4 linked regions of the Bombyx mori genome follow. The protein of the gene in region 1 interacts with the protein of each later gene in a biochemical or structural test. Links are inferred from orthologs where the notes say so. Each region holds a gene or a part of one and is shown in the gene's direction. Other genes may lie near its edges.

Evidence for each region.
Region 2: the proteins of nuclear RNA export factor 1 (region 1) and GTP-binding nuclear protein Ran form a complex in vitro, tested with the Homo sapiens proteins (2 studies listed by BioGRID). The link is inferred for Bombyx mori from reciprocal best matches to the Homo sapiens genes NXF1 and RAN.
Region 3: the proteins of nuclear RNA export factor 1 (region 1) and ALY form a complex in vitro, tested with the Homo sapiens proteins (2 studies listed by BioGRID and IntAct). The link is inferred for Bombyx mori from reciprocal best matches to the Homo sapiens genes NXF1 and ALYREF.
Region 4: the proteins of nuclear RNA export factor 1 (region 1) and nuclear pore glycoprotein p62 form a complex in vitro, tested with the Homo sapiens proteins (3 studies listed by BioGRID and IntAct). The link is inferred for Bombyx mori from reciprocal best matches to the Homo sapiens genes NXF1 and NUP62.

Annotation. Positions count from the first base shown.
Region 1 is NC_085124.1:4,529,775-4,534,033, forward strand, and holds the start of nuclear RNA export factor 1, read left to right. Parts: upstream 1-1,397; 5' UTR 1,398-1,782; coding exon 1,783-1,840; intron 1,841-2,055; coding exon 2,056-2,649; intron 2,650-2,972; coding exon 2,973-3,163; intron 3,164-3,598; coding exon 3,599-3,708; intron 3,709-4,259.
Region 2 is NC_085116.1:5,374,857-5,378,527, forward strand, and holds GTP-binding nuclear protein Ran, read left to right. Parts: upstream 1-1,404; 5' UTR 1,405-1,480; intron 1,481-1,846; 5' UTR 1,847-1,873; coding exon 1,874-2,299; intron 2,300-2,400; coding exon 2,401-2,616; 3' UTR 2,617-3,145; downstream 3,146-3,671. Other genes in the region: syntaxin-1A, read right to left, coding at 252-284. UniProt on the Homo sapiens protein: GTPase involved in nucleocytoplasmic transport, participating both to the import and the export from the nucleus of proteins and RNAs. Switches between a cytoplasmic GDP- and a nuclear GTP-bound state by nucleotide exchange and GTP hydrolysis.
Region 3 is NC_085114.1:10,512,184-10,516,407, reverse strand, and holds ALY, read left to right. Parts: upstream 1-1,435; 5' UTR 1,436-1,492; coding exon 1,493-1,696; intron 1,697-2,346; coding exon 2,347-2,563; intron 2,564-2,641; coding exon 2,642-2,836; intron 2,837-3,468; coding exon 3,469-3,617; 3' UTR 3,618-3,721; downstream 3,722-4,224. Other genes in the region: replication factor C (activator 1) 5, read right to left, coding at 1-2, 344-408, 497-531. UniProt on the Homo sapiens protein: Functions as an mRNA export adapter; component of the transcription/export (TREX) complex which is thought to couple mRNA transcription, processing and nuclear export, and specifically associates with spliced mRNA and not with unspliced pre-mRNA.
Region 4 is NC_085134.1:6,717,943-6,722,076, forward strand, and holds the start of nuclear pore glycoprotein p62, read left to right. Parts: upstream 1-1,279; 5' UTR 1,280-1,456; coding exon 1,457-1,523; intron 1,524-1,710; coding exon 1,711-1,767; intron 1,768-2,048; coding exon 2,049-2,150; intron 2,151-2,637; coding exon 2,638-2,765; intron 2,766-3,353; coding exon 3,354-3,432; intron 3,433-3,806; coding exon 3,807-3,931; intron 3,932-4,134. UniProt on the Homo sapiens protein: Essential component of the nuclear pore complex. The N-terminal is probably involved in nucleocytoplasmic transport.

The DNA of each region.
Region 1 (4,259 bases):
TGTTCACGATTGACTTCCACGGTGAAGGAATAACATCGTGTAATAAAAATCAAACCCGCAAAATTATAATTTGCGTAATTACTGGTGGTAGGACCTCTTGTGAGTCCGCGCGGGTAGGTACCACCACCCCGCCTATTTTCCGCCGTGAAGCAGTAATGCGTTTCGGTTCGAAGGGTGGGGTAGCCGTTGTAACTATACTGAGACCTTAGAACTTATATCTCGAGGTGGGTGGCGCATTTACGTTGTAGATGTCTATGGGCTCCAGTAACCACTTAACACCAGGTGGGCTGTGAGCTCGTCCACCCATCTAAGCAATAAAAAAAAAATAAAAAAAAAAAAAACTTAAAAATGGTTCCAAATACTGCACATCCATAAAAAAGTCTTTATCAGAAGAGGAAGATAAGGAAGGCGCAGTATTTTTACCACCTTTCCTCTTTTTGCCCTGCGTACTAAATACATCTCTGTTAGATCTGCCTTCAGCAACAATTCGTCTTATGGTAGTATTTATTTATTTATTTATTTATGTGCGTTCCCCTGACGAGTCATTGTCAGGGACATTTTTTATGCTTATTTGCTTTTTTGATAAATTTTATTTTTCACCATTTGTAATGTTAGGTTCGTATTTCGTTCTTTTATAATTTTCGTTTCTCTGCTTATTACTATAACCTGGAAAAACCAAAATCCGGTCGTCCAAGATTTTCGAGAACACTCGAAAACGTAGACAGTGTTGCCCAGTCTATTCGGGACGATCTGAACCTTTCAATTGAGAAGCGTGCGGTGGCCTTAAACGTGCACAGATCGTCGTGATGCCCTATTTTGCATAAAGATTTAAAACTGCACCCGTACAAATTCAGTTGGTGCAAGAATTAAAACTTCAGGATACTGGTCAGAGGTCAATTTTTTCCTGGCAAATTGATCTCCAGGAGAGGTGACATAAGTTGGCCTCCACGCAGTCCCGATTTGACATCTATGGACTTTTTCCTGTGGGGTTATATCAAATCCAAAGTTTACACCAACAAATCGACTTTCACACACAATTAAAAGAAAATATCTATCACGAAAGCCATCACGGAGAACACCTGCCGAGCCGTCATAGGCAATTTTAGTGCTCGATTAAACGAATGCCCTGAACGCAACGGTTTACATTTCGACGATGTCATTTTTAAAAAATAAATTCCAAAACAGTGTATTTTAATATGTAATAAACATTTTTTCAATAAACTCCTTACTTTTTTTAAAATTATATTTTTAAATATGACATTTCCTTTGAGACCCTTCCTTCGTTTTTTTTATTATTCATAAACTATTTTCAATAATTAAAACAGCGAAACATAAAAATCTTTTACTTGACGCTGGCTAATGCACAAACCGTACGGAGCCAAAAATAAAGACGAAGTGTAATCCATAGGTTATACAGGTGTATAATCTACAAATGTCGCCATCCATTTTGTTTCACATTGAAAAAGAACAGGTTTAAGATTCACAAGAGAGACGCTATTTAGTTTTTGGTGATTAATTTTGGAAATATTTGGATTGCTAATAACGTCCAAATATATAATTTAACTAACCATACTTAAAATTTATTGAGTGTAGGGTAATTTTACACCATCAAAGTTGTTTAACTCTTTTGTAATTTGCGTTGTTAATTAAAAAAAGCTATTATTCAATTATCATTGGCTTTATCTCAGTTAACTATTCTACACGCATGTGAGAAAATAAGGAAACCTTAAAGAACTACTTTCACGGTATTTGTATACTGGTGATTAAAGCTTCTTCGACACGATGCCAAAACGTGGCGGTGGAAGGAATAGAAATTGGAAGGCTGATACTGACCATTTTGGTAAGTGGAACACTTTTATTTATATTCTGTTGTGATTTTGTAGTTCCTACAGTGAATTATCAAAAAATAATGTATTCCATTGTTGTTAGCGCTACTTATGTTTAATACATAAAGGCAAAATCATGCATCATAAAGTTCATGATACCAATGAATAATATATGAGTTTTTAAAGTTATTGACTATTAATACTTGATTTACAAATGATATACTTTCAGAACACGATGACCGTGTCAATAGTGTGCCGAGACATGTCAGTTTTAAACCTGGAGCTAAAGGAAAAAATAAATTTCGAACTTGGAAAAATCCTTTAGCCCTCCTTGATGATGATATTGACATGGGTAGTTCTGCTCTTCAAGGACCGGTCCGGAAAAGTTCTTTCAGGGGACGTGGGAGAATGTACTCTCCAGCTCCGCAAGGAAGCCACGGACACACTAAAAAGAAATTTATTCCTGGTGTACTGCCTTGGTACCAAATAATCATTCCATATGGAGCAAAACATGAAAAAGATGTTATCCTCCGAGCCTTGTTGGGTTTTCTTTCACCCGACATATTCATTCCACATTACTATAAAGTCAATGGAAATGCTGCAGTATTCTATGTTGATGATGTCAAAACAGCTGAAAAACTTTATAATGCTGATAGAAAGATCACTATGTCAGATGGTTTTAAGTTAATTGTTATTGTGAGGAATGCTGTTCCAAACATGGCCATTGACGCTGCCATGAAAGAGAAGATGAAATTGACAATGGCGAAGAGGTATAATGCTACAACTAAGGCATTAGATTTAACAAAATTCCATGCTGATCCAGGTGATTGTCCAATTATATTGTTATTGCTTTACATATTCATTATTTACAATACATTCATTGCAATGTCTAAAATTCAACTTGTTAGTAAACAGCTTAGTAATACATATTATAATTTCTTTTTCATTCAATTAGAGATATAATAAGCTAGACTTTTGGGAATAATTTCTTATGGGCCCACATAAGCTATAATCTATTTAAGAGCGCATACTGGTTTGCCCTTTTATAATGCAGCAATGTAACAACAATATTTATAACCAGTTATTTTATAGAATGTAAAGACAATAGTTTTACTGGGTGAATATTGAAATAATACTATTTTTCAGATCTAGAAGATATATTTTGTGCACTGTTCCGTCCAATGATAATGTTGGCTGCTATAGATATAATAGCAGAGAATATTCCAGACATAGAAGCTTTGAACCTAAATGATAATAAGCTTCATGGTTTGCAGCATCTCAAGGTTTTGTCTTCAAAGCTCAAGAATTTGAAAATATTGTATATGGGCGATAATAGGGTAAGACAAATACATTTACGACAATTTAGACCAGTGTAAAATTTCAAATGACTGATTCATATTCATATCATCATCTTCAGTGCACATTCCTATCTAGGCATAGTTTGAATAGCCCCACAAGCTAACAGTAATTAGGTAGGATACAAAATCCCTATCTACATTTGACAAATAAATTTGTGGTTTTTTTTTTCTTTATTATATACCCCAACTAACAATCTTTGCAATTAATTTGTTTTCACATGCACTATATCTGATTGTTAAGGTAGACATTTTTCTCAATTTTGTGTAGTGTAAGTATTTTTCTACTAACTCATCATTTGCATTACATTAGTAAAATATAAAATAAATGTAGTAAACGAAAGACATCTTTAAAAATATATGAATGCTATTAAAAAACCAATAATGTACATTAATTATCATTTAAACCTTTTCCAGATTCCATTCCTTGGATCACTGGACCCAATCAGATCATTACCGCTAGTTGAGCTATACCTCAAAGGAAACCCACTGGTGAACAGGTTTCATGATCACGAAATCTACATAAGGTAACGCTAATGTTGTAGACAGTATCTTTGGGGTCACACCCCAAGATATTTTGAATATCCTATAACACAGTTTACCATTAGCGTTAAGCCATGGAAACTTGACAGCTATATAAAATCAAACTGTGGCAGTACTGTTGCTGAATTGTGCTTGTTTAAGTAGATGAAATGAGTAAAGATGTTTTTTATCATAAGTTAAATTTGTGATAACATATATTATATTCCTATACTGTTTATAACAAAATCAGTAAAATATCCCTTAATAAAATATACTTATAGTTGACTAATCTTTTTAAAAGACATAATTTTACATAGCAAAAAATTGGCAGGATAATTCCATAAAATTTCTTGGGAAATGTCCCAACAGACAATGAGCCTTCTTATTTCCATATTCCCCTGACTCACATATTTATCAGAGTATTAAAATAATTGATACAAAATAGTAACATTTAAAAATATTTACCTAGGAATAGGTCACTCACAGCATTATATGTAAAAATGGCCCAACTGTTTAGTAATCTTGGAAGAGTTTTAGTGCAGTGGTATGAGACATA
Region 2 (3,671 bases), on another chromosome or scaffold:
GAACGCAACAAATGTCTCGCATGAATGACAGCTATCATTCATCCAAGTCGAGTACGGGGTGGGGCGACCAGAATAAAGAACCCTCGTATATTTGGTTTGTCCAAAGATGTGTAGTTCTTAAAAAGAAGAAACTATGAAAATATCCTTCAAACTCACGATAGGCACCTTATTATCGGTATTTCATCATGAATTCGAGGTCATCGGCAAGACCATTAGATGTGCGAGAAGAGAGAAACTACAAATCTACTTACCGCTTGAAGCGCCGCTAACCTGTCCTTCGTCATCCTTTACAGAGAATCACGCACCAAGTAAACGTTTTTTCTCGTTACACAATCCCATTCAAAGATATTTTTCTAACAAACGTCACTAAACTAAAGGACACGAACACTACGTTCACTTCACTCAAAAAATCGATACCATACAAAACGTTCAGACGAGCAAAACTTCACTTATCGCTGGTCGCTACACTCGCTACCTGTCTCATGCTGTCAAATTTAATGTTGCCATAATTTTTTTCTAGGATCCACTAATATTAAATATAAAAAAAACAAGGCACACATGCTAAGAAACAACTTATAAGCTTCGTGCGCTACTGTGAAATGAAGATTGTGAGATGGATATAGTATGGCGACCAGGCTCATTAAAATTAAAAGAGGAGTACGTTTTAAGAAGGCCGCAAGACGAAACTCAGCAACGATATATTCATATAGGAAGGATCTCAGAAAGAAACTTTGCACGAAGAAGAATAGTTGCTTGTTCTTCTTCGTTCGAAAATCTATCGAAAGGCCGAAGATGGAAAAAATCCATCGAGAAGCAAGAGTGATTTTATAAAATTTTAATAGTGTAAAGAGGAAAAAGACGATCTTACGAAGTCTTTGTGGCCGATAGAATTCCCGCGGGCATTTACCATTTCTTATTGAAAGAAAATTTGTGTATAGCGTGTGTTCATGAATGGCACTCATGATGAGCAAATTAAAATAGAAAATTAATACAAAACCATTAATACAAAATAAGCTTTATGCTATATTTTTTTGGGAGTCATAATTGCCAATTTTGTTGGCAAAACCACTAAGATGGCAATGTTGAATATAAAATGTTTGAATTTGTAAGCTATAGGGGGCGTAGTGGTTTCGAAATACCAGTGACGTCAAATACCCTGTAGTCAAAACAGCGCATTATACGGCTTATATTATTAATTTTAAATACTGTTACCCAAATAGAAATTAACTCATTTACAAAATATATCTGATTGAAAGGTTAGTATATAAAATGCAAATTAATATTTTTTTAAACATTTGAAATAGTTTTACGTGGCTTTCATAAATTTAAAAAGACCTCACACTGACTCTTAATTCACTGTGCTTGTCAATGTCAAAATTGTCATTGTATGTAATCTTCCGCTTAGTCAAGTGACGCCATTGTGAGCCGTAACGACTTTGCTTTGGAACGAGTTAAATCTCGATTTTCTTATACAATCACGGTAAAGCCTTTAAAAAAATTATTTGTTTGTGTTCTATAAAAAACTGCCAATAAACTGATATCCATATTTATATTATTGGCGTTGTAGTTTTTCAGTTTTTCTCTTTAGAGTTCGGTACCTTCGAGCTAAATTCCTATGAGAGTGATTGAGCGCCATTCGCCGAAAAGTTAAAACAAATTCAAGTTGTCAAGTTCATTCAAACTCACAATTTATGTACCCAGTGATGAATTTAATCTGCTTAAAGTGTTGAATTATTTCTTGTATTCCGCGAAACCTAGTGAACGATCGATTGAAACGACCTGTCAACCGTGCGTCATAGAACATTCTATGGCTATATCCTAATTTTAGTTTACCACATTGTTTCAGAAGTAAAATAGCAATAAAACAACGAAAATGGCAGATGATATGCCCACATTCAAGTGTGTATTGGTAGGAGATGGTGGTACTGGCAAAACAACCTTTGTCAAAAGACATTTGACTGGAGAGTTCGAGAAAAAATACGTTGCGACTCTGGGTGTCGAAGTACATCCTCTAGTATTCCATACGAACCGCGGGCCAATTCGTTTTAATGTGTGGGACACAGCCGGACAAGAGAAGTTTGGTGGTCTTAGAGACGGATACTATATTCAAGGACAATGTGCTATCATCATGTTCGACGTAACCTCTCGAGTTACGTACAAAAATGTACCTAACTGGCATAGAGATTTGGTCCGTGTATGTGAAGGTATCCCTATTGTCTTGTGCGGAAACAAAGTGGATATTAAAGACAGAAAAGTTAAGGCGAAAACTATTGTTTTCCACAGGAAAAAGAATTTGCAGGTAAATAAAACTATTTTCATTCAATTTAAGAGTTAATTTTAAGGCAAAATGTTAAAATTCTTTGTAATTATTTTTGTTTCAAACTTGATTATTTTTTTCAGTACTACGACATTTCTGCTAAGTCAAACTACAACTTCGAAAAACCCTTCCTGTGGCTAGCTAGAAAATTAATTGGTGACGGTAACCTTGAGTTTGTTGCCATGCCTGCCCTTCTGCCACCAGAAGTTACAATGGATCCTCAATGGCAGAACCAAATTGAAAAAGATCTTCAAGATGCACAAAATACTGCTCTTCCTGAGGAAGATGAAGACTTATAAATATGATCAACGGATGTACCCAGTGCCCATTTTGTGATTGGAGGATCATGCAAATGTGTTCAGTGTAGCGTACACTAAATTTTTTCATTCCATTAGGTGATCGCAAATGAACATTATTTTAATAACTTATTAAACCTTCAATCATTTGCTTTAATTAATGTAAAATCATTAGATAATTTAACACGTAGCTCCTCTAGTTTGAGTTTTATAAAACTGTAATTCTAAACTTTTATATTGAAAGGCAACAAAAATATGAGTATTATTTATGTGTAGTTCATTTTTGTTACAGTTGTCATAAAAACATTTTGCATTGATTGCCCAATATGTGTTAATGCCTATTTGGTCACTGTTATTTATAATACACATGTAAACAAATTTGTATGATAACTCTTTGTAAACCAATAGCATGTACACACATAATATTATAATCTTGAAATTATTTCTTACTTTTGTTACATGCAAGGACTGACAATATTTCACTGAAAAATTGAATTGTGGTGATACTTTTTAAATAAAGTGTAAAAAATGAGATCGTGATTTTACTTCATCATATAAATAAAAGAAGCAATGGAGAAAATGGGTTGTTGTAACTTAAGATTCTTTAATAATAATAATATGTAGAATCTGTAAGTGATCTGATTTGTGTGGTTGTTCACAATATTAATGAGCTATCTAATTATTGAAAATATATGACGAAATACTGAGAAATTATTTATTAGCCTCTCTTAAATATTAAGTTTCATGAGGTAGGTACCTACACATTATGCATATGCCTTCAATATCTGGGATTTGACCTTTAGTGCCCTTGATGGCTGGCTCTGAGGCTTTTTCAAGCGTATCTCGAGTCGGGGCGGTTGCCGTCGCAATGAAAGTTACTTTTTAGTCGTTTATTCCTTTAAAACCCTGTCCTGATTGGAAATCGCTGGGGCGCTAAAAAATCACGGACGTTGGGTGTGGTGGAGGTTCATGGCACTATATTGTTCACCGGTTTGGTGTTACGCTCTGATCCTCGAAAATGCGACTGCGCTGTGGATTCCACTGCATCTTTGAGGTGG
Region 3 (4,224 bases), on another chromosome or scaffold:
TACTGTAATGACAATATTCTAATCTCAGTAAATACATATATTACTGTACTAGGGCTAGTACCTAATCTCACAAAAATAGGGATGTAGTGGTTGGAAGGCTGCTGCCTCAATTAAGATGTAAACAAAGTACTCTAGAAGAACAAAAAGAAAAATCCTTTACTTTATGTTACAATGTACAAAACATACTGGTACGAAGAGGGGGTTTATGCATTAACTGTTATAAGGTATTCGTATTACGGTTAGCAACTTAATATCAACCTGATTCAAGTCCAATTTTTATAGCCTTAAATTTGATAGTCTCTTTAAAATAATGTGATCATTAGTTTCAGAAATTTATACTTACTTGTTTTTATTATATCATCATGAGATACTAAATCATCCAATCTTTTTGGGCGATATTTTTCAACCCTGCGTAAAAACAAAGTGTTAATCGTCGTAGTAAAATATATTGAGTTATGATTTTTTTGTTTAAATCATTGTTAATGATAGTTCATACCATGGCAAATTTTGGCCTGTTTCCCCAACAGTCATATTGTTTTTATAACAGTATTTTTAAATCGCTTCTAGTATGTAAGTACAGATACTTTAATAAAAACGATTTATTTAAATTGTGGATTGGTTTACAAGCTTGAGGAAACTATAAAATTCAAAATTCGAACCATAGATAGTAGTAGCAGTTTTATTCATAGATTATACACTTAATATATTATTGGAAAGGCAAAGGTATCATACCATAAAGCGTAATCTTTTATATATTTTTTATATGTAAAATGATTTATGAAATGAAATGAAGTTGATTAATATGAAACATAACATGAAATGAAATGAAATGAAAATGAAATGGAATGAAATGAAATGAGATGAGATGATATGGGATGAAATATAATCTCAGTAAAATGGTAGTCATTTACTGAGACTTTTTCAGTGGACTTTTTAGAGGATCCCAAAAAGTTATGCTCAGCGGCTTTGTTTCAATTTTCCCACATTTGTGCACTTTCACAGATATTAAACAGGTTATAAACCACCGTTATTACACATTTAAACTTGGAGAAACACTAAATAGACAAAATAAAACAAAACACACAACTTCACTCCTCGCGCCAAAAATCTCGAACCATAAATAATACACTTCTTAATATTTGAATTTTGAGTGCATTAGCATTACGTGATTTGATTACCTAGTTAAAGATTAAAACTAAGCGCTTAATTTTTTAAACAGAAAGATTTGACCAAATCAACTGGTAAATGTAAAATAAAATAAACTAAGACAGATGTGTAAGATAGTCTTTATTGACTATAATTTCTACCAAATTTAAAGCTCAACAATTTTTTTCAATCTACTGTTGAACTAATATTAGCAATCTGGCAATAACGAATCTTTTCTTCGGCCATTTTGTCACCGTCTACTTGGGAAGGAAGAGTTCTAAAAGGATTGTTTTTGTTTTTGACTTAATTTTCATAGAAAAAATATTTAGAATTTCAAATAATCACCATGGTTGATCAAATTGAAATGGCACTGGATGATATTATAAAAGCCAACAAAAAGACAAGGATTGGAGGTGGTGCTGGAAGAAAATTTGATGCAAACAAAAGAACAGGACGTGGAGGCGGTGCTGGATTTCGTAGCAACCGCTCTGGTGGTGTACAACGAGGTAGAAATCGTGGAGGCATAACGAAATCTACCAACTATTCGAGGGTAATTCCAATAATTAGATGATTCTAAAATTACAAATGGCGGGCAAATGTGACGCATCAATGTATCTAATTTGTTCTCAAAAAGTCAAGCAACCATATGGACCATCTTGTTGAAATAGTTTTAGACGAAATTTGACACTTTGATTCAAATCAAGACCCTTATTTTATTCGTATCCGACCTATTTTCAACTTGAAACCATAATCCCAGCAACCATATTGTTATCTCCATCAACGTTTTTGTTTTGCATTGTTTACCTACATCTGCCGGAAAATTCTATGATGGATGCTGATATAAAAGTGTAATGAATTCGAGCAAAACGTTACTTTTGTGGAGATGTCTACAGTGCAGTTTTGACCAATTTATAGAATTGACTTCAGGAGTTGAAAAGTAAATAAATGGACTCCATGGACGGCTGAGACTGGTTGTGCTTCATAACTTATTAGTCTTGTGTCTGTGTGATGAAAGTGATAAAACAGTTCTATATTTTAATTTTCGAAAAAAAACATGTAAACTACATCAAATGTTATTTTATCAAGTGGTTCAGATGTCAATGTATTAATTTTAGTGCCTAAGCTTTGAGTTTTTATTATATTCAAAGGAGGCATAGAGAGTAGCCACATGGCTAGCTCTATGAAGGATGACCTTTTCAGGGTGATGTGAACAGCACTTGGAAACATGATATGTTCAATGATTTTGGTGAGAGGAAACTTCAAAGAAACAGTGGGACCATAACAACTGGTCCTACCAAGCTGCTTGTATCCAATTTGGACTTTGGAGTATCAGATTCAGATATAAAGGAACTATTTTCGGAATTTGGCATCCTCAAAAGTGCATCTGTACATTATGATCGGTCAGGTAGATCTTTAGGTATGTATCACAAAGCATAAAAACTTAGTTTGTTCCATTAAGTATTTCATCATACAAGATATTTTTAAATTTTTTTAGGTACTGCAGATGTTGTGTTTGAAAGAAAAGCAGATGCTGTGAAGGCTATGAAACAGTATAACGGAGTGCCACTTGATGGACGGGCAATGAATATACAATTGGCAACATCTGAAATCAATACTTTAAGGCCCGAGGCTAGAAATCGAATTGGTGGTGCGAGTGTGGGAGGTACTATACGAAACAATCCTAAAAGAGGTAAGATATTTTCCAGGATTTGTTTGTATGGGAGGAGTGATAACAAATTACATCATTGTGATTTGTGACAAATCACCATATACAAGATGGCCTCTTAGTCGAATCAATCTGGAAACACCTAGTTATTGTCGGAAAGATACTTCAATAAGGCCATTGGTCATGATAATCGCCATATTGTTGCTGCCGCTGACTATTTCTACCCACAGCAGAGACTAACTGTTGATGTCCTAGACACATAATTACGGATCCATCAGATCCAATAACTCTTGCATTAGACACCTGCTTTAACACTAACCATACTCATTGAACTCTAAAGAGTTTGATGTGCAACCTAATCCATAGACAGACTACTGATCTGGTAGTAGATTCATTTGCAAAGCAGCTGCCCATGAATTGTGTTAGACCTCTTTCGGAGGTGTTCAACTGTTAGCAAACCCTTCTCTTCTGGCTAAGCATTCGTGGTGTAACTGGAAAGGCCTCCGGCCCTAAATCCTTCATTTAAAAAAACATTATTAAAATTAATTACTTTTTTTAAAACTGATATTTTCCCACTAGTTCTTGTTGTACATTTTCACTTTACTGTTTGCAAGTTACAAATTACTAGAAATCCATTAATTATTTTATTTTTGAAGGAGGTGGAGGAATTAGAAATCAAAGCAATAGTGGAGCACGTGGGGGAAACAGAAGAGGACGTGGTGGTGCAGGCAGAGGCAAACGACCAGTACCTACTGCAGAACAATTAGATGCAGAGCTTGATGCATATGTGAAAGAAATCAAGTGAATAACTAATGAGAATGTGCATAGACACTCAGTTTTATCTTAAAATATGAATGAATAAGCTTTGTGTTCTCAATGTTCTAGATTAATTGTAAAAGTATAGGTTATACTAATAAAAGACTACGAATTATAAAGAAATTATAATTCTAGTACATGTATTAAATTGGATAAATAAACCCAGATTTGAAATTTTCTTGTATAGATTTCTTTTTAGTCTGTAGTTGTGTACACAAGTGTAAACATTTTTAAGGAGGTTATCGTAATTCAACTGTATTACAGTGAATGCATCTGCATTCGGCATCTGCCGATTTGGAAACTGCCTAGATCTTAAGCGTATCACTGCTCCACCTCCAAACATCACTACCTGTGTAGGTTAAAAATTATACGTAGCTACTGGTGATGTTATTCGTTCAATGTGGAAGTCTGTCAAAAACAATGAGAAATACTTTTTCAAAAAATTTTCATGGTCATTACACTCAATTTCAGCACATCAACAGTCATATTTAAAGCTACGGCAACATCAAAGTTCATTTATAAAAGGAGTTGTCGTACCCCCTTACAGGGGCACGGAACGGGCCTCGGGCAAACCCCACTGCTTGGACAGAAGCTCC
Region 4 (4,134 bases), on another chromosome or scaffold:
CACGAAATTTTGGTTGACGTTTCATTTCCATAGGTTTCCTACTTCATTGGTCACTATGGAACCTACGAGAATAAGTACGGCAGATAAAATATTAAGTAGGTAGGTATGCAGGTAGTCAACTTACTTTGAAAACTTTACGCCTCATATTTGTGCACTTGTATACAATGGATTGTTATTCAAAAAGTTTAAAACCACACACACCACGTCTGAGATAGTTTTTTCTTTTCTTCTCAGTCGTACACTCCTAGCGGAGTGGTCGTGGTTATGTACGTCTTATTTAGACATTTCCATAACTCTCATGCGAAAATAGTAGCAGTGGCTTAATAAAATAAATATAAATAATTAAAATAGTGTTCTGATATAGTAATGCGAGCATGAAACACGAATCTACCTGCCGAGATAAACAGTGGCTAACAAGGTAACCAAGGGCCCCAGGGCAAATAAAAAAATGGGGCCCCACTACTATGTAAGCGGATTAGGTTTTATGAAATAAAAATAATATGAAATATACAAATACTTTAAAAATGCTAAGCTACTTAAGCTCTTTTTTTGATTGCTGACGTGGCAACGCATCGCCATGCACAAGCGACTGTCTCATTTTATTATTGTATTTTTCATATTCCACACCAATTTTCTATTCTAAGCTATCCATATAAACATCTATACTTGTACAAAGTAATATCAATGTTTCAAATCTACAAGCTTTACCGCGATGGCTCGTTTTTTCCTTTCCTTTGGAACACACCATCAAACTCGACTTTGGAACAAACTTGCTTAATTCAGGATGTGGCAAAAGATATGGATGATTTCATCTAAAATTGTTATTGTTATCATCCAACTGATGTTATCAAAAGCGATTTAAAGGTATGGAAGAGATTGCCTTTAAAAATCACATACAGTAAATTGATTTGAATTGAACAGAGTATAGAGAGTTGGATTGGAAAGATAATTTACGGTTTCACATTTATCGTTAGGATTCATATTAGGTGACGAGAAAAAATGGGGTAATTAAACATTGTTAGGTATTTTTTATACTATGTACTATAAGAATATAGTTTTAGCTTTTAAATGCCTTATCTTTCTTCTTTTGCCACGATTATCTTTCATATATTTTTCCTTTCCGACACTCATTTTCTAGAATTGGTTGCGATGAGAACACGGGAAAAAATATGCTTGCAATCTGCCTGGCTTGAGATCTCACACAAGGTTTTCAATTCCAGTTTAAATCAATTGGCTACGTTTCTTTTGCCAGTCTGATCGGACATAACAAAAAGTGACTTTTGACACATTGAAGTTTGAACGAATGATTAATATCTCGATAAATCTTACTGTTGGTAAATTTTCTAACGGCGGCAAACAGTAGTGCTTACTAAACATTTATTGAAATATCTAAATATACATACTTCCATCATTTAAACTATTTTACTTTTACATAAGTTTATCTATAGTTTACAAAATGAGTTTTTCTTTTGGAACTACTACAACGTCGTCTAATACTTTTGGTACACCAACACCATCAACAGGTAAATTCTTTTTGGTTTGATTATCATGTTCCAATTTGAAGCTTTATAAATTGAAATACTCTACAATACGATTCGAACTACGATATATATGTTTTTTTAAACAATAATTAAATTGTCAATGTAAACAATATAACCACACTTTTTTCACGTTAAGATCAAAAAATTAATTAATTGGATGTAATTACAGGATTTTCATTTGGCAGCGGTGACGCTTCAAAGCCGTTATTTGGTGGATCCAACACAGGTACGATGCGTACAAAAACTTCCGGTAACAAATACAAGCGATATTTTAAATCTGAATTTTTCTGTTACAAGTAACAAAAATAGACAGTAAAAATTTAAGGGACTAAGGGAATTTAAGGCACCACTGTTAATAAATCAAGATTTATTAACAGTGGTGCTGGTTTCTTAAACCAAGAGACATGGATATTTTCAGAAAAGATGAAGTACACTCATTAGATATCCAAACATGAATCGAATCCCAAAAGCATATAGAAAATGCAAATAATATTTTTAATCTCTCAGAAAACAAAGCAACATTCAGCTTCACTAGTCCCACAACAAGTGCACCAGTATTTGGCAGTTTTGCATTTGGTGCTAAAACAACAAATGCAGCACCTTCACCATGTAAGTAATGGCCTTTGTTTACTTAACGCTGAATATACTGTATGGTTGTAATTAAACCATAGCCAAAAGACATGCAAAAGATATTTAAACAACTATTAACACTCCTAGCTGACATGTGAAAAATTATTTAAAAAATTATAATTATCCCTCAAAGGGGTTCTTAAATGATCAATATTTCATAAATATTTATTTACACTCAGATCCTATGTTCTAAATACAATTTTCATACAAGTTAAAGTTAAATTAAACTCCAGGAATGAATCTAACACTAAAATAGAATTGACCTACAAATAACAAAATAACATAGTGCTTAATCAAAATTATCACCACACTACTGAATCACAAAATGTAAGAGCCTTGAACCTTTCCTGCCCTACTCTTTATAGACAATGAGAACCTACCTGCTCAAAAAGAGGCTTACATCAAACATTACGAAAAACATTCTACTCATAACAAATGCCTCTCACACTTATGTATTGTATGGCAGTTTCATCTCCATCGACAACGACTACAACTGCAGGCTTTGGAGCGAATAAGCCAACACCCTTTGGAGGTTTCACTTCACCTCCTAATCAGACAGTTGGCAGTTCTGCCTTTGGGCAAGCAACAAATCAGGTGTGTACAGTAATTTTGTTGGGAGCCTGTTAAACAAACTATTCGTCAGTTTGGTGTGATGTCTCCAGCTGCGTTTATCGATCAATACTGTATTTTGCATTTCACCAAATTAAGTGGAAAAAAAATCAGTTATATTTGTAAATTTTACTGGTGGTAGGACCTCTTGTGAGTCCGCGCGAATAGGTACCACCGCCCTACCTATTTCTGCCGTGAAGCAGTAATGCGTTTCGGTTTGAAGGGTGGGGCAGCCGTTGTAACTATACTGAGATCTTAGAACTTATATCTCATGGTGGGTGGCGCATTTACGTTGTAGATGTCCATGGGCTCCAGTAACCACTTAACACCAGGTGGGCTGTGAGCTCTTCCACCCATCTAAGACATAAAAAAAAAAAAAAACAATGTTCTGCCATTGTTAAATTGTTGTGAAAAAAATGATATCTTTTCTTTCTTAGTTTGAGAATGCTTACATTCTACTTATCTTTTCTTTCTTAGTTCGAGAATGCTTACATTCTACATAACTCTTATATGTCGTTCACTGTGCTCCTTTGCATGTGTTAATGCCTTGTAATGCTAGTGAATATTTCACAGAATGCAGGACAGGCCCAGAATCTGTCGTTTGGTGCAACCACCACAGCACCACCGGCATTCGGTACACCTGCCACACAAGGTTGGTTATAAATATAATAATATTATAAATTTATTATTATAATGAATATATAAATGATATTATACTAAAATGACGATTATAATGGTAACACAGCTTAAGACCTGGATTGACAAATATAATTATTTTGACATGGCAGATGACATGGATAATTATAAATTTAAAATTAAAAAAAAGGATAATAATATTGCTTTTGTAAATGCACTAGCGCTCAGCTTTTGCTATTATGAAAATTGGACTTAAAGTTCAGAAAAGTTTTAAGTCATTGTTCCTTACAAACGAAATTTATAATTACTTCACCAGTACGTCTTGCTTGCATCAGTAATAAAGTGAACAGAAATTTTAAGAAAAGGAAATGTATGAACATGTTGTTTTAGCTGCTGCCCCAGCATTCGGTTCCAGTGCAAATACAGGTTTTAGCTTCGGGAAGCCGGCATCAACGACAGCTGGCTTTAGTTTTTCAACACCTACATCTGGTTTCTCAGCACCGCAAGCTAGTACTGTAAGTTTTTGTTACAATCCCAAAAAAGAAATCGTTTTTAGATCATCTCCAGTTAATTCCTTTGTTTGTCTGTTATTTTTGTTGTTAAGTTTAAGGTACAAAGGTAACTATTCTAAATCCAACTTCTGATTACAATAATTTGTTGAAACCAGGAGACAATGTCAGTCTGTATATAGTAGTTACCTAGTTGTAAGCATTAACAC